4 linked regions of the Macaca fascicularis genome follow. The protein of the gene in region 1 purifies or fractionates together with the protein of each later gene. This does not show direct contact. Links are inferred from orthologs where the notes say so. Each region holds a gene or a part of one and is shown in the gene's direction. Other genes may lie near its edges.

Region 1 (3,041 bases):
CTCTTTTTTGTACTGTAGCTGGCTGTGGGCACTGGCCCCCTGACCGTTGTTTTAAATGTCCCCTCATTGTGCTCCTGCTCCTTTCCTAGTGGGCCTTTGGAGTGACCCTGTGGGAACTCATGACTCTGGGCCAGACGCCCTACGTGGACATTGACCCCTTCGAGATGGCCGCATACCTGAAAGATGGTTACCGAATAGCCCAGCCAATCAACTGTCCTGATGAATTGTGAGTTTTTTTTTGAGCTTGAAGGCATGAGTTTTATTCCATTTACTATATTGGAATAAAGGAAAAAGAGCAGGTTTCCATATTCACATAGAGCCTTCCCTTTTAAGAATAATGACTCTTTGGATTTAAATTAGACTCTTATAAAGAACCACAAAGTCAGGGAGATTCATTCACTCTTTCATGCATTTGGTATTAGAATGCCTTGCATTTTATTTTATAGTGCATAATCTAAGCACTATAAATTAGTCTGAGAGGGTGTACTAAGAAAATTGAATACTATGTCAGTTATTCTATACAGAGTGAGTACCTGACTTTTGTAGTTATAAAGTAATTATAAAGGACATAGTAGTTATAAAACCTTTCTCATTGTCATTTTGCCTTGCCAGTTAGTATCAGCTGATACAGGGAAGATGATCTGGACTAGTAAGCAAAATAGTTGCTTTCTGTTTCCTGCTTCTATCACGTAGCTTATCTTGCCATGTAATGAGGATGGGATAAACAGGAGGCTCTTCAGGGTGATTGATTGTACAGATGAGTATGTTCTCAGTTCCAGAACTCCCTGAAGTTTCTGCACCATGACAAAGTGGCAGCTTTTGTACTGATTTTACTCTAGATCCAGGGTTCATACAACTTAGATAAAACTTTCTCTTCCTCCAAGTTCTTTTTCTTAATTTAACTACAGGAAAACACAGGTTGTTCTTTTTTGACTGTATTTTAGGTTTTTATATGAACTCTCTGTATTTGCTGAAATATTTTGATATGCTGTCATGAAGAATTGAAATTCACACATGTAATCCAAATAATTTCTTTTAGCTTCTTTCTAGAGCTGCCAACAGATAGTAAAATGAATCCGTTTTTAATATATCATCCTCTCGATACCCACCTTTAGACAGGCAGCATAACTGGCATCAAACTGACCAAAAGTTTAGGAATACTGTATCCTTACTAGTCCAAATTTTCATTTTTGTCACTCTGCAGATTTGCTGTGATGGCCTGTTGCTGGGCCTTAGATCCGGAGGAGAGGCCCAAGTTTCAGCAGCTGGTACAGTGCCTAACAGAGTTTCACGCAGCCCTGGGGGCCTACGTCTGACTCTTCTCTCCCAATCCCGCAGCATCAGGAGGAAGGTGCCTGTCGCGGCTCTCTTGAAGCCTGTCATGGATGCTTCCTATCTAACACAACGCCAACAGAAGCACATTCGTCTTCCAGAACGCCGTGCCTTAGGAATGCTTTAGAATCTGAACTTTTTAAGACAGACTTAATAATGTGGCATATTTTCTAGATAATCACTTTTATTAGGTTGAACTGAAAGGGTTTTTGTAAATTTTTTGGCCAAAATTTTTTAAAACATAGTTACTTTGGACTAGGGGTACATTCTTACAAAATAAATAAACAGTTTTTAAAATTGTTTAGACACAGATATTTGGAATTAGCTATCTTAGTGCCAACTGCTTTTTATTTTTTTACTTCATCAAGGTGATGTAAGTGACTCACCTTTAAAGTTTTTTTAACGTTATTTTTTGTCACTACTCTGGGAAATGGTTTATCTTCAAAATGCAATGCTTTTCTTAGGAAAGGAAAAACAGCATTAAAAGATACCTGGTTTGCCTTGTACAAGAAAAGGCAGTATTAGAGGAAGAAAATTTAAAGAAAAGCTAGAGGAAAAAAGCAATTTTTTTTAATACTTACTAGAAGCAAACTGCCCTTGCGTGGAAAACTGTTTATTTTTTTCAGTGAAAAGGAATTCTGCTTTCGTATTTTTTGGGAAAGCAGGAACTGAGTTCATTACATCTTTAATTTGGCAGAAATTAGCCTTTCTGTGAACCAGAAGTGGTTTGGGGCAGATCTGTAGTAAACAATGGTGATTTTATTTATTTTTACTCTCTGGAAAAGGAGATAATACCATTCCAGAAAGTGAACTCATATTTCTAAGGTTAAGATTCCCTTTTATTGCACCTAGAATAGTGCTATGCACAGAGTGGGTGCCTGAGTTGTTGTCATTCTTTTAAAAAAAAAAAAAAATGTAAACTGGTAAATTTTGTGCTTATCTTCAAGGCTGGCTTAAGTATAAAATTGTTTTTTTAAACACTTGAAAAATTAAAGGATTTGTTTTATATTATGACAGTATTGAAATTATTTTTCATAATGAATGATTGCTTATTGCGTCTGGTCAGTCTTTGAACATTCAACAGCTGGACATGTGTGTTTTATTTCATGATGTTTCAGTCAAGTTCCAAAGCCCTAACACAGTTACAGCTGGCTCAGTCTCCAGGTTCTAGTGAAAAGTTGGAATTAATGTTATAAGGAAGTATTAAAACACTGAAACATTTCTCCAAAACCAGCAAGTAAGGGGTATGTATGTATTTATGCTCAGTTTTAGTTGGCCTAAAGCAGAGTTGAATGGGCCTCCTAAGTAGCTAGGCCTGCAGGTACTGCCACTGCTCCCATCTTCACAGATATATGAGGGAGAATGTGCAGCAGTTGGAGGCTTTCGCTGTTTTTAAACAAGCTTTATGAATCAGCAACGCATCTGGAAAGATAGCTCACACAGTGCCTGGTTTTCCACAAGTAAGCTCAGGGCATGATTTTCTGTGTACATTTGTTAACAGTTCTTTGGTTTTATAAATACTCATATGAAGCCAGTCCCTGGAGGACTGTTTTTTAAAAAGTCCCTTTGAACCATTTGTAAATTATATTTTCATTCATAACCTGCATTCTTAGAAGGCATTCAGTCAACATTTATAGCACTTACTGTGTATTTTCCACATGGAGTGGTTCAGCTCGAGCGTCCCTTCCAGTATTCAGGGCAGTCTTATT
Region 2 (4,648 bases), on another chromosome or scaffold:
GTGCTCTGGGCCCTCCATTTTAGAGGACACCAACCTGACTCTTCTTATGGGGTGAAAAATCTCCAGGCTAGCACCCAAAGCCTGGGTACCACTATGTCCCCAAGACTCAGGACCCTGGAATTCCCTGACTGATATTACCAAGGCCACTTCTTGGCCCTGAGCTAGCTTCCTCTGAGAACTGTCCTCCCAATGAAGGACCCAACAACTGGTATAGGCACACCTGGGCTCGAGAGGCAGACAAAGGGTGGCTGGTAGAAAGTGTGAACAGAACTTGGTTTTGTGGGCTGCAGTGTTCACACACAGGTACAAAAATCCCTTCTTGTCCTTGAAGACAGCTGGGCACAGGACGCAAAGGCGGTGAGGGTGTACAGGCCAAAGATTTGGATCTGACTCTTTCCCACATGCTGTGTTTCAGGGAGAAACTCCAAAGTGTCTGAGAATCCTGCTTACAAACCTTCCAGGTTGTAATGGAGGTAATTTCTCAAAGCAGGAGCACAGAACATACTTTATTAGCATCATAGAATCCTTGTAAAATTTCAAACATAGGGTAGGTAAGCCCTGGGCTTGCAAATGTTAGGGCGAGGCTAGAAGTCAGAGTAATCAATTCTGTTAGGGTTTCTTGGAGGGTTCTCTCATTATTGCCCGAACTGGTGAACATCTCAGGTATCTTTGCCTGTCAAATTTCTTTCAAAAGGCAGCCTTTCTAGTGAGGTCCAGATGCATCCTCTAGAGTCTATCGCTGTTGTCGCTGAAGGCTAGAAACAGTTTCAGATTGTTCACCGCATTGAAGAGGAACCTGTTTCCTGGCTCGAGTGTATTTGGGACAAATGGGACTACCACAATGAGGTGAGAAGGCGATTCCTTCCGAAACACTTGGTTTTGGGTACTTTCCCCATAGGGATGCTCAGGGAAATTCCCTGCTCTTCTCTCTACTCCATCCTCCGGGTCAGGCTCCTTGGGCCACATGGGCAGTCTCCAGGAGCGCACAGGACGGCTTTGTCCTGTGCCCGTGGTGCAAGCGCGGTGACGGCGAAGGGAAACGAGCAGAAGAGTGGCCACCGCGGCTGGAGTTTGGACTCGAACTTTCCTTGGCCCTCTCTACGAGTTACCGCCTTCCCGCGGGCTCCCCACAACTCCTGCCCGGAGGCCAAGGCCCGGGCGCGCACCGGGTCGGAGTCGGGCTCGGCAGGTCCCGAGAGCGTGCGCCTCCTCTCCGGACTCCCGGGCAGCCGCAGACACCGGGAGAGCAGGAGAGCCGGGGAGGAGGAGGGGCAGGGGCGGAGGCGGCCGGCGGCGGCGGGCGGGGAGGAGCCGCCGCGGGTCCTGGCCAGGGGAGGAGGCGGCGGCGGCGGCGGAGGAGGAGGCGGTGCTCGCGCCGGGCGGTAGAGCAGCACTGGGACCCGTGCGGCCGTGACCCCCGGCTCCCTCGAGGCCCAGCGCAGCCGCAGCGGACAAAGGAGCATGTCGGCGCCGGGGAGGGCCCGTCCTCCGGCCGCCATGAGGCTCCGGGCGCCGCTGAGCCCGCGCCGCGCTCCTGCCCGCCCGGACTTTGGGGCGGCCCGCTAGGCCAGTGCGCCGCCGCTCTCCCCGCAGGCCCCGGCCCGCAGCATGGAGCCACCCGGACGCCGGCGGGGCCGCGCGCAGCCGCCGCTGCTGCTGCAGCTCTCGCTGTTAGCGCTGCTAGCGCTGCTGGGAGGTGGCGGTGGCGCCGCGGCGCTGCCCGCCGGCTGCAAGCACGATGGGCGGCCCCGAGGGTCTGGCAGAGCGGCGGGTGCCGCCGAGGGCAAGGTGGTGTGTAGCAGCCTGGAGCTCGCGCAGGTCCTGCCCCCAGATACTCTGCCCAACCGCACGGTCACCCTGTGAGTATTTCCCGGGACGCCCGGTCCTGTGCCGCTCGGCTTTTTCTTACCTCTCCGCTCAACTTTGGAGAGGGGTCCTGCCGGCACCCACGCGCCTTTGTGTGGAGCTGTAGGTAGGGGGTGGTGCTAGGAAAGACCTCGTGTGCTTGGCATGGGTGCAGTTCAGGGAAAGGCAAGCGAATCTGCGTCTGAGCTGCCTCTCAGCTCCACTAGTTTGCAAAGTAAAGTTTTCGGGTTCTCAGGCGCGCCCCGCGCTGTCCCGGGCGCAGCGCTTTTGGGCTGTGCGGTGTGCCACGTGAGGATGCAAGTAAACACGCAGTCGACAGAGTTAAAGCTCATTCATCCTGGGCTTGGGCTTCCAGAAAACACAATGCTTGATTACAAGCGCCAGTCCTTCTGCTTCTTTGCAAATTAAGTTACACTTACGTGGTAGAGTTTACAAAACACAAGGACTGTGTGCGAGCCGAAACCCCAAGACGCTTCCTTTGCCTTTTGCTATCTTAGTTTTATTACAGTTAAAGAACACTTTTTAAGATAGAGTTGTTATTAAGGGCTGGAAACGTTTCAGATCAATCTGTTTATGTACCTTGCAGTCCCGTTTTCGTGTCTGTGGGGGCTCATATTTAAAAGCCAGGAACTTTGGAATTGAATACTGTGGGTTTATTGAGCCTTCCAACTCGAGGGATTTTTGATTTTCGGATTGAGTTTCCACCTGGAAGGAAAAATTTTGGTAACTCACTTGTGCTGGGATTCACGGTTCAGTTTTGCAAACGTAGTTCTGCCAATTCTAGCTGAACAGTTGGCCCCAGTGACTGTCGAGTTTGTTTTCAGAAGGATGAATTGGTTTGGAAAGTTTTGAGTCTAAGTGTTTCTCATGGGTATTTTGTTCAACTGAAATGTGAGTCCCTTGGCTCGGGGTTCCTTTATGTTGTTTTGGTTGGTTTCCTAAAAAAAGAATCAAGGCAGCCACTATACAAACATGAATGCAAGGGCCGCAGCATGATCTATGAGAACACTTAAAGTATCGTTTTAAATGTAACCCAAATTCAGCAGGAGTATATACAGGTAGGCCAGGTATACATTTCATTACTAACACCTTTGTTTACCCTTCATTTCCATTTTTGGAATTAGGAAACATTCAACCATGAAAACTGTGTCTATGTGTTTATGGAGGCCTGAAGATGGGTGAAAGAGTTTTTGTTTTGTTTGACTCCTTTACTAACACGTTACCATTTGGTGGTGGCAGCAGTTATATTTATGTATTTCTTAGCCAGATTCTTTGAAGTGGAAATTTTCGGTATGGGACTTCAATTACAGTGCAAGTGGAGAAAATTCCAATGTTGGAGGAGATTTTCTTTGTTACTCTGCAAAAAATTAGTCATCATGCAGTTGTGTTATAAACATTTAGGTTTGGGGTCAGTTAGTGGCATTTACGTTGACTCATGTTTAGGTGCAGTTTTTCTGACCTAAAAGTGTCAACAATTCCAGCTGGATTGGGTCAACTACTAGTAAATTGCTGATGTTGCTTTGCAGAAAAAAATAGGGGATATGGTGGTAAATTGATTTTCAGCATATGAACTGGTTAAAATATAAGTATGAAATGTCATTTTAATCCAGGTTTTTTTTTTTTTTTTTTGCCTGAAAGCTTTTTAGATGAAAATAAAATTAAGGTTGGGCATGGTGACTTACACCTGTAATCCCGGCACTTTGTGAGGCCAAAGCGGGTAGATCACTTGAGGTCAGGAGTTCAAGACCAGCCTGGCCAACGTGGCGAAACCCTGTCTCTACTAAAAATACAAAAATTAGCCAGGCGTGGTGGCGTGTGCCTGTCATTCCAGCTACTTGGGAGGCTGAGGCAGGTGAATCACTTGAACCCGAGAGGTGGAGATTGCAGTTAGCCGAGATCACACCACTGCACTCCAGCCTGTGTGACAGAGTGAGACTCTGAGCCAAAAAAAAGAAGAAAAGAAAATTAATAAAATTAATTTAGTGAATGGGAAGAAGATGCTATTAAGGATCAATTAAAGCTGTTCTGCGGGTCGTGGTGGCTTACGCCTGTAATCCTAGCACTTTGAGAGGTGGAGGTGGGTGGATCATCTGAGGTCAGGAGTTAGAGACCAGCCTGGCCAACAAGATGAAAACCCCATCTCTACTAAAAATACAAAAAATTAGCGGGGCGTGGTGGCGGGTGCCTGTAATCCCAGCTACTTGGGAGGCTGAGGCAGAAGAATTGCTTGAACCCGGGAGGCAGAGTTTGTAGTGAGATGAGAAGGCACCATTGCGCTCCAGCCTGGGTAACAAGAATGAAACTCTGTCTCAAAAAAAAAAAAAAAAAATGAGGCGTTATTCTGGCTGAAGAGGGTTCAAGGTATATGAGTCCCCCGTAGAGGGGTCTTGTGGGCCAGTTTCGTCATTTTACTGGGGAAAGAGTTAGAGTTACTGTAGATAAGGGACTCACCAGAATTCTCATAGTAGAGCAGCATCTGAGTCCACATCCCAGATGCTGAACCCAGATTGCAGTTCAGATGCTTTCTCATTCCTTGCCTTGCCTTCATCTTAGTTGAGCACAGTTTTTGTTGAGCGGCCCCTAGGTAGTAGGTAGCGTGTTGAGGTTTGGACTGTGTGTTAGTGCCTAGGGCTGCTGCAGATTACTATGGACTTGGTGGCTTGAAACAACAAATTTATTCTCTCTGGAGGCCATTAAGTCCAAAATCAGTGTATTAGCAGGGCCATGCTGTCTCTGAGGACTTTAGGAATAATTCATGCTTGCTTCTCTCATCCTCTGGTTT
Region 3 (4,662 bases), on another chromosome or scaffold:
TTACCATTAAAGTTTATTTCCCTTTTATCCAGATAGGTGACGCTACACTTTGCCAGTTTCTAAAGGCTGCAGGTTTCTGCTCAGAAAATAATATCGAGGTTTCCAACATGTTTATTCACCAGGCGCGCGCACACACGGTCTACCCCCATAAGCAAGCACGACGACAGGAATGTCAAGCATTTAAACAAAGACAGGCATCCTTCCCCCCCCTCCACCCACCGCCCCCCGCCCCCCCCCCCCCCGCAACCATCCAAAGTCTGAGCTCCCAAAAAAGGATCTTTCTCCCGCTCTCTGGAGTTTGATGTTCTCTCTTCACTACTGCAGCCCGTCACGGTTTTTCAGAACAGAGTGGCTTTCTGGGCTCTTGTGTGTTCCCCAAGACCCCGATAACCATGTCCTAACCAAGATGCTAAATCGCGAACCGGAGACACTTTCCGGGTGGAGGGGGTGGGGGGAGGACGTCGTCTGAGAGAGAGGGAGAAGGAGAAATCTATCCTGACACAGCTCGAAAAGCTCTCACGCGTGAACTGGGCATTAGTTAAGGGAGGAGGAAATTTACCAGCCCGAGGGAGGGAAAACAAGTCCCCCAGAGAAGAAGACGGAGGTACTCGCTGGGGGGCGTTGAGCTTTGGCTTAAAGAGGTCTGGCTGGGATTGGGCACACTTTGAGCGGCCCCTGGAGCTGAGGCTGGGCTTTCCCGAGCGCGGAGGCTGGCTGACGCTCCCTCCCGCCTCCTTACCCCGGGCCCTCCTCCCTCGCTCTCTCCCTGTGTGTAGTTTCGGCGGCTGGGCAGCTACTGCCGCCGCCGCTGCAGCAGCAGCGTCAGGGACAAGCCTGATCCGTGAGCGAGCGAGCTCCCAGCAGCAACCACCACTTTGGGCAACTTGCGGGTTTCCTGCTCGCGGGTAGCGAACGGGAGCTTCCTACTAGCGGTTCAGTGTCTCCGAGCCGCTGCAGCCTGAGTGGCGGCGGGAGCGCCCGCACCAGACTCTCCCAGACGCGAAAGGGACGAGAAAACTGCGGAATTCACCAGCCGTGCCAGGGCACTTCCGAGGCCACAAACGACTGGCACTTTTTCTCCCCTTGGCAAACTGGATTTTTTTTTTTTTTTTTAAAGCTACTTGGCAGCTGTCTCTGACTCCACCTCCCCTTCCACCCCCGCCCCAAAGCCTTTGGCTTTTCTTCGGAAATCCAGACAGAATTGGGCATCTTTGTTAATTGCCGTTGGGGACGCCCAGCCGTGCGCTTTCGCCGGCTAACGTCGCCTGTGCTCCGAGCCTGGTTTGCTCACCTTTGAACTGCAAAGGGATCAAGTTCAGCTCGAGTTCCCTGCATTGGGACTAAGAGGAAGGAGAGAGAGCGTGCAAGAGAGCGAGTGGGAGAGGGGGAAAGGGGAAAGGAGAGGAGGGAGGAGAGAGAGGAGGGAGGAGAGAGAAAGGGAGGGAGGGAGGGGAGGGATCGAGAGAGAGCGGGGAGAGAGAGAGAGAGGCTGCAATCTCCTCCCTGAATCGCGCACAGCGCTGCAGATCCCACTGCTCCGACATGCGGGCCGAATGCAGGTGAGAAAAGGCACGGACTCTGCGGCTGCGAACCCAAACTTGGGCACCGCACGGTGCGCACGGCTCAGCCTTCGCCCCCGCGGGCGAAAGGCTGCTGCGGTTTCAGGCGGCGGCTTCGTGACTAATGACCTTGCGCAGAGTTGTTAAGAAAAAAGAGAAACCCGCGCTCTCCGGGGTGAGAAGGGACTGACTCTCTGGGCGTCTCTGAAGATGGCTCGGGCTTCTCTTTGGCGCGCCGGGGGGACCCGGACGCGGACCGCGCTGTGACGCGAGTAGTCTCCACTGCACCGTGCCCGAAGCGACGTGCCGGGGGATTTTTCATTCTCTATCTGTTGACTGGCTCCCCCGCTGCCTGAGCAGAGTCGGAGTTGAGACTGGCTTGTTGCTGGCCCCAGCGCCTGGTGCAGGAAGCGACTCACGTTTGCCTGGGCGGCCGGAGTCGGAGCAGAGCCTGGGTTTGGAGTGAGTGTCTGGAACGTGAATTGGACTCAACTCGAGTAGCAGCAAAGACCGGCGGGCTGGCAGGCGGGGGAGGCTGCAAGCTCGTTCCCCACCTCTTCCCAGCCCCACTGCCCGTCTGCCGGAGCAGTTCTGGCCCCTTCCGACAGAGCGGGGACGAGAGCCGGGGATTCTCCGCCCGCTGCGGGAATGACTCTGGGTGGGGGGGCGCCGAACCCGCGGCGCGCAGTGTCCCGTGAACTGTGAGTACTGCGACTGAACGGCGGCCGGCAAGCGGGCGATTAGCACCCATTGCATGAATTATGAAACAATAACTTTCGGAAGAAGCAGGAGAAAAAAAAAAGCATCTATCGCTGCCCTCCCACCTGCATTCCCGGCCGACTCTCCACGCTGCTTTTGCCCCCTCCCTCCCCTCTCTCTCGCTCCTTCCTTTCCGGGAGAGGGGAGAGGACTGGGAGGAGGGCAAGCGGCCGGCCCCGGAGGAGGGGGGCGCCGAGGGGGCTGTGGTTAGAAGGAGCAGTAGCAGCAGCAGCAGGAGAAGATGCTGAGGATGCGGACCGCGGGATGGGCGCGCGGCTGGTGCTTGGGCTGTTGCCTCCTCCTGCCGCTCTCGCTCAGCCTGGCGGCCGCCAAGCAGCTCCTCCGGTACCGGCTGGCCGAGGAGGGCCCCGCCGACGTCCGCATCGGCAACGTGGCTTCAGACCTGGGCATCGTGACCGGATCGGGTGAGGTGACTTTCAGCCTGGAGTCCGGCTCCGAGTACCTGAAGATCGACAACCTTACGGGCGAGCTGAGCACGAGCGAGAGGCGCATCGACCGCGAGAAGCTGCCCCAGTGTCAGATGATCTTCGACGAGAACGAGTGCTTCCTGGACTTCGAGGTGTCGGTGATCGGGCCCTCGCAGAGCTGGGTAGACCTGTTTGAGGGTCGGGTCATCGTGCTCGACATCAACGACAACACGCCCACCTTCCCGTCGCCCGTGCTCACGCTCACGGTGGAGGAGAACCGGCCGGTGGGCACACTCTACCTGCTGCCCACCGCCACTGACCGCGACTTTGGCCGCAACGGCATCGAGCGCTACGAGCTGCTCCAGGAGCCCGGAGGCGGCGGCAGCGGCGGCGAGAGCCGGCGCGCCGGGGCGGCCGACAGCGCCCCCTATCCCGGGGGCGGCGGGAACGGCGCGAGCGGCGGCGGCTCGGGAGGCTCCAAGCGGCGGCTGGACGCATCAGAGGGCGGCGGCGGCACCAACCCCGGCGGCCGCAGCAGCGTGTTCGAGCTGCAGGTGGCGGACACCCCGGATGGCGAGAAGCAGCCGCAGCTGATCGTGAAGGGGGCGCTGGACCGCGAGCAGCGCGACTCCTACGAGCTGACCCTGCGGGTGCGCGACGGCGGCGACCCGCCTCGCTCCTCGCAGGCCATCCTACGGGTCCTCATCACCGACGTGAACGACAACAGCCCCCGCTTCGAGAAGAGCGTGTACGAGGCCGACTTAGCTGAGAACAGCGCCCCGGGGACCCCCATCCTGCAACTGCGCGCAGCTGACTTGGACGTGGGGGTCAATGGGCAGATCGAGTACGTGTTCGGGGCGGCCACCGAGTCGGTGAGGCGACTGCTGCGCCTTGACGAGACGTCCGGCTGGCTCAGCGTCCTGCACCGGATCGACCGCGAGGAGGTGAACCAGCTGCGCTTCACGGTCATGGCCCGCGACCGTGGGCAGCCCCCCAAGACCGACAAGGCCACCGTGGTCCTTAACATCAAAGACGAGAATGACAATGTGCCATCCATTGAAATCCGCAAGATTGGGCGCATCCCCCTCAAGGACGGGGTGGCCAACGTAGCCGAGGACGTTCTGGTCGACACCCCCATCGCTCTGGTGCAGGTGTCCGACCGAGACCAAGGCGAGAACGGGGTGGTCACCTGCACCGTGGTGGGCGACGTGCCCTTCCAGCTCAAGCCAGCCAGCGACACCGAGGGCGACCAGAACAAGAAAAAGTACTTTTTGCACACCTCGACCCCTCTGGACTATGAGACCACCCGGGAGTTCAACGTGGTCATCGTGGCGGTGGACTCAGGCAGCCCCAGCCTCTCGAGCAACAACTCCCTGATTGTGAAGGTGGGAGACACGAACGACAACCCGCCTGTGTTCGGCCAGTCGGTGGTGGAGGTTTACTTCCCTGAGAACAACATCCCGGGCGAGAGGGTGGCCACAGTGCTGGCGACAGACGCAGACAGCGGAAAGAACGCTGAGATCGCCTACTCGCTGGACTCCTCTGTGATGGGGATCTTTGCCATCGATCCCGATTCTGGGGACATCCTGGTCAATACGGTGCTGGACCGCGAGCAGACTGACAGGTATGAGTTTAAAGTTAACGCCAAAGACAAAGGCATCCCCGTGCTGCAGGGCAGCACTACAGTGATTGTGCAGGTGGCTGATAAGAATGACAATGACCCTAAGTTTATGCAGGACGTCTTCACCTTTTATGTGAAAGAAAACTTGCAGCCCAACAGCCCTGTGGGGATGGTCACCGTGATGGATGCTGACAAGGGGCGGAATGCAGAGATGAGTCTGTACATAGAGGAGAACAATAACATTTTTTCTATTGAAAATGACACGGGGACAATTTACTCCACAATGTCTTTTGAC
Region 4 (4,635 bases), on another chromosome or scaffold:
GTTATTTAATGATGTCACTAATACCAGACAAGGATGTCTCCTCAGGTAAGGCTCCTTGGAGGAGGCAGAGGTTGAGAAGAGGTATAATTTAGGTTTTTAAAATGCAATAGCCAGACTTAACCTTGCACATCTCTACCTGTTACAACGGTGGTCCGGAAAGCTGCAATCTGAAGGCCCCTCAGCTAGTTGCTGCCACTGTGGGCCCTCTGCGCATCTCTCATTTCCGGGCTCTTTATGCATGTACTCTGTTCTGCAGATAAGTGAGGATGTGACTATTTGCTTAGTGACAGTATCTCTAACCCTGCTTTTTCTCAGTTTTAGAGATGTGTAAACAGGCTGGGGATATGAGGTCACTACCCACTGTCCTATAATCAGCAGATGGCATGACTGGCATTGGAGTTTAGGTCTGTCTGTGCTTTTCTGTACATTACATCCTTTTTAATGATGTGAAGGAAAAATGCAGTAGGGTCAATGAGACAAATGGAATGCAGGTTGCTGGGGAAAGAATGCAGGTTGTGCGTTACAAATGCACACACTTTACAGTGCCACTTGGGTTCTGAACTTTGCGGTTAAATTGATTTAAAAACTGGTCTAGAGGTGGTAAAACTTAAACAGCGAATGAAAATATTTGGGTTTGCTTCAGGAGGTCGCAAACCACTTCTTGGTTAGTAGAAATGGGAAATTAAGGGCCACCTTCAGGCGTTTAACTGAATCGTCCTGGGGATTTAATTTGGCTTTCGACTCAATGCTAAGGTTTTGTTGCTTTTGGTTTTTAAAGTAATGTAAGTTTATCGTGCCAACGGTAAGATATCTCTCGGGACGCGTGCACCTGCTCTCGCAATCACTGACTGCGGTCAGCATCCTCCTTAGAGCAGCGCCCCGGGCCACTTGGATCCCGGCCTCAATTTACTAAGCGAACTCAGAGGATGCCCAGAGTCCTGGACTGCAGAGCCGCTCGCGAGAGGCACCGGGGCTGTAACCGCGCAACCTCGTGCCGTGGGCGGGGACGAGGGAGGCTTCTCCCGCCGGTGTGCGCCCTGGCGCGAAAGTGAGGCGCGGGCGGGGCTGGTCACGCGCCTGGCTTCCTGCAGTGCGAACCCTGGAAATCCCGGAGACTTCGCAGTTGCCGAAGGGACCCGAAGAAGTGGGATGTGCAAAAGCGCCGGCTGGAAATCCCGGCTGTGTCTCCGTCAACTCTTCACGCAACAGAGGGCTCCCCCGGCCCTTGGTTTTTACCGGGCCGCCTGGTCCCACTCGGCGAAAAAAATTCCAGAGCTGCTGCCGTGGCGATGGCGTGGAGGGCTGCCTCCTCCGCGTGCGCGGCGCCCCTGCTTCTGTGGTGCGCACTGATGACCGCAGGTAGGGGGCGGCTGGGGTGGGCTGGGGCGGAGGCGGCTGGGGTGGGCTGGGGCGGAGGCGGCTGGGGTGGGCTGGGGCGGAGGCGGCTGGGGTGGGCTGGGGCGGAGGCGGCTGGGGTGGGCTGGGGCGGAGGCGCCTGGCGCCAGAGGGTCCTTGCGGTTGGCTCCCTAGCGCCCCTCCAGGGGACCGCGACGTCCTGGGGCCTGGGGGCTCTATTTTCTTTTCTTTTTCTTTTCTTTTTTTTTTTTTTTTTTGATACGGAGTGTCGCTCTCGCCCAGGCTGGAGTACGGTGGCGCGACCTCGGCTGACTCCAAGCTCCGCCTCCCGGGTTCACGCCATTCTCCTGCCTCAGCCTCCCGAGTAGCTGGGACTACGGGCGCCCGCTACCACGACCGGCTAATTTTTTGTAGTTTTAGTAGAGACGGGGTTTCACCGTGTTAGCCAAGATGGTCTCGATCTCCTTGACCTCGTGATCCACCCACGTCGGCCTTAAAAAGTGCTGGGATTACAGGCGGGAGCCACAGCGCCGGGCCTGGAGGCTCTATTTTCAAGCGCCCCTCCTTTGTGAGATGCGGAGTCCCCGATGCAACAGGTTGATATTGAAGGCCTGCCCTGTGCAGGGTCGGCACCTGTGCGAGCGGAAACGGTGCTTCCTTGGATGTCGCGCACTCGGTGCCTTGGTAATCTGCTCCTCTCTTGCATCATCCAAGGGGTCGGAGCAGAGAAGAAAATCAGGGAATGGGGAAAATAGGAAAATGATTCACCCGCGTATCAGTGGGTCCTCCTGGCTTTGCTAAGTAAGGTCTTTATTGAGAGAGGGAGGGGAGTGTTTTGATCTTGAGGTGACCTTCAAAAGTTCTCTTACTTTTTTGGGAACTCGTATGGGAATGTTCTGCGTTAACTTAAACAGGAGACTACAAGGCTGAAACGCGTATGTAGAGATATTTAAACTCATTTCTAACTAGAAGAATGGCAATTAAACAACAAGATGCTGCTTGACCCTTACTAGGCTGGCCACAATACGCTCCTGGGTACCAGGTGCTGGAGAGGGAATGTAGGAATCCCGGAGGCGCGCTCTGGGCGCCCCAAGTCACTGCAGGTGGAGGCGAGCCGCGTGTGGACCTCACCGTGGAGCGCTGGGCGGCAGCTTCACACCACGCCCTTGCTGCTTGCCGAGCAGCGTGAACGGATGTTGAAGGCAAAGAGCCAAGCAGTGGACATACAATGTAATACCCTTTCCACAGTTTGAGAAACAGAAGATACAGCCTTAAAGAGAACAAAAATGTATGTTAAACACCTTAGAATGACTGCCCAATGGGAGAGGGAAATGAAAATAAAAACGAGGGAATAGCATTTCTATACATTTGCAATGAGCAATGTGAAAATAAGGCAGTTCCGAGTGAAGTGTGGGCGGCGACGAAAGCCAAATTTGCGCTGGACTCGGCGCTGGTGGCTGGAAGCGCTTCCACGCCCTCAGTCTGGGTCTCCTCGAGCTCGAAGTGGCGCCTGGGGGCTCCCGCCGCGCCCACCCGGTCCCGGGCCCGGCGCCCCCTCCTCAGGAGCCTCGGGTGCCAGCCACTTTCGTCCGGTCCTCGTCCCCACGGATGCTGGCGGTGGTGGAGAAGGGCCGCGCGGTCTCTGGGAAGCGGAGAGGAAGGAACGCCGTTTGGCTGTGCGGCGGCGCTTTAGTGGCAGCAGCAGCAGCTCCTGGGAGGAAGCTAGTTCGGGCTCGTCCAGCCACAAGGAGTGAGGCGGCCGCTGCATGACGGTCGGACCCCAGAACCAGGCGTTGGTGCTGGACTTCGGCACCGGAAGACACTGTGAAATTGAAAACCATCGGAAGCTTTCGCCTAACAAATCATTTCCGCCCACAAGAAATCCCTACACCTTAGAATGGAACATCTATTTCCCGGGCTGTTATTCTGTGTGGAAGCAAATTTAAAGTGGTACAAGAAAAAAAAATCCAATCAGACAAAGGAATTCGTCAGATTTTAATGCAAGATATTCTAGCCCGTCTTTGTATGAGACTGTCTTTAAAGGTTGTTGATATAGAAAATGTTTTAAAGAACGTTAGGTTTTATTTCAGAAATGAAGTTCAAAAGAGCAATTTGTAAAGCTGTAGTTAACAATCCTCCCTGGTTGGAGGGCTCTAGAACGGGAGATTCTCTATGCAGGTTATACCACTAGTTGATTTGAGAAGATAAATGCATAGATGCTTTTCCTTGGAAACAAGACTGCAGAAAATTCCAAGGATCTAGTCCTTGAAAAAGGGGAATGCTCTTAAGCTGTTATTAAGGTACTAAACTCTGTACCTTTAAATGAAAATACATGGAGGTCCGGGGTGAGCGCTTGGGCGCTCTGAAAATAGACGACGTTTCCCAAATTTGCCTTCTAAATTTTGATTTGTTGATTTAAATCTTTTAAATTTATGTAGTCTGGCACTCAGGTTTGTATTCCTTTTAAGCACATGTTAGTGTTTTGGTATTTTCCCCTCCCCCTCCGACCCCCCAATTCTTTTTTTTTTTTTTTTTGGGTAGTCTCTTTTCATTTGTAAGAGTGACAATAGAACTAGGTGGCCTGGCTATTTCTCTCGTATCCTTGGCTCCTCCATTCTTTGGTTGGCCACCAGGGGGAAGCATACTGTTTTTTGGTTACAGTTGACCCTATCTTCATTTTGTAGGTCAAGTCTGTTTTTGCCTTGATACATAGAACATAAAGCTTGTCACCATGTTTGCCTAATGTATTATTTTTAAAAATAGACTTGCACAAACCTTTGAGTAAGTTGGCAGGTTTTTGGATACATTTTTTGTTAACATTAATTTTGAAAACTTTATTTAGATATGTTGGGTGTGACTAATGAAAGGACATGTTTGATGGCAACAAGGGGAATTCGGTTTCTGACATTTATCTAAATATTGATGTCTAGCTCTGCATTGTTAGTAATGAGTCTGACTTCTTTGGAGTTGCACTCTTCTTTGAAACAGCAAATGTAATATTTTGAACTGTCCTTGCACTTTTTGTTGGATTGGTGTAAGCGTAAACTTGCTGGCAACCTACTGTTCTAAAATAGAAAACATCTAGCCAGTCGCAGTGGCTCATACCTGTAATCCCAACACCTGAGGAGGCAGTGGGAGGATTGCTTGAGCCCAGGAGTTGGAGACCAGCCTGGGCAACTTAGTAAGTCTCCATCTCTACAAAAAATCAAAAAATTAGCTGAGCATGGTGGCGTGTGCCTGTAGTCCCAACTACTTGGGAGGCTGAGGCAGGAGGTTCAC

Evidence for each region.
Region 2: the proteins of RYK (region 1) and ADGRA3 purify together in Homo sapiens (affinity purification with mass spectrometry; 3 studies listed by BioGRID and IntAct, with this or other methods). This does not show direct contact. The link is inferred for Macaca fascicularis from reciprocal best matches to the Homo sapiens genes RYK and ADGRA3.
Region 3: the proteins of RYK (region 1) and PCDH7 purify together in Homo sapiens (affinity purification with mass spectrometry; 3 studies listed by BioGRID and IntAct, with this or other methods). This does not show direct contact. The link is inferred for Macaca fascicularis from reciprocal best matches to the Homo sapiens genes RYK and PCDH7.
Region 4: the proteins of RYK (region 1) and natural cytotoxicity triggering receptor 3 ligand 1 purify together in Homo sapiens (affinity purification with mass spectrometry; 3 studies listed by BioGRID and IntAct, counting the BioPlex papers as one, with this or other methods). This does not show direct contact. The link is inferred for Macaca fascicularis from reciprocal best matches to the Homo sapiens genes RYK and NCR3LG1.

The regions. Positions count from the first base shown.
Region 1 is NC_088376.1:37,066,241-37,069,281, reverse strand, and holds the end of RYK (tyrosine-protein kinase RYK), read left to right. Parts: intron 1-89; coding exon 90-226; intron 227-1,204; coding exon 1,205-1,316; 3' UTR 1,317-2,343; downstream 2,344-3,041. UniProt on the Homo sapiens protein: May be a coreceptor along with FZD8 of Wnt proteins, such as WNT1, WNT3, WNT3A and WNT5A. Involved in neuron differentiation, axon guidance, corpus callosum establishment and neurite outgrowth.
Region 2 is NC_088379.1:21,659,832-21,664,479, reverse strand, and holds the start of ADGRA3 (adhesion G protein-coupled receptor A3), read left to right. Parts: upstream 1-1,350; 5' UTR 1,351-1,608; coding exon 1,609-1,859; intron 1,860-1,909; exon of another isoform or gene 1,910-2,110; intron 2,111-4,648. UniProt on the Homo sapiens protein: Orphan receptor that may have a role in planar cell polarity pathway.
Region 3 is NC_088379.1:29,920,455-29,925,116, forward strand, and holds the start of PCDH7 (protocadherin-7), read left to right. Parts: upstream 1-1,491; 5' UTR 1,492-2,559; coding exon 2,560-4,662.
Region 4 is NC_088388.1:48,428,895-48,433,529, reverse strand, and holds the start of natural cytotoxicity triggering receptor 3 ligand 1, read left to right. Parts: upstream 1-1,697; 5' UTR 1,698-1,943; coding exon 1,944-2,040; intron 2,041-2,796; exon of another isoform or gene 2,797-3,656; intron 3,657-4,635. UniProt on the Homo sapiens protein: Triggers NCR3-dependent natural killer cell activation.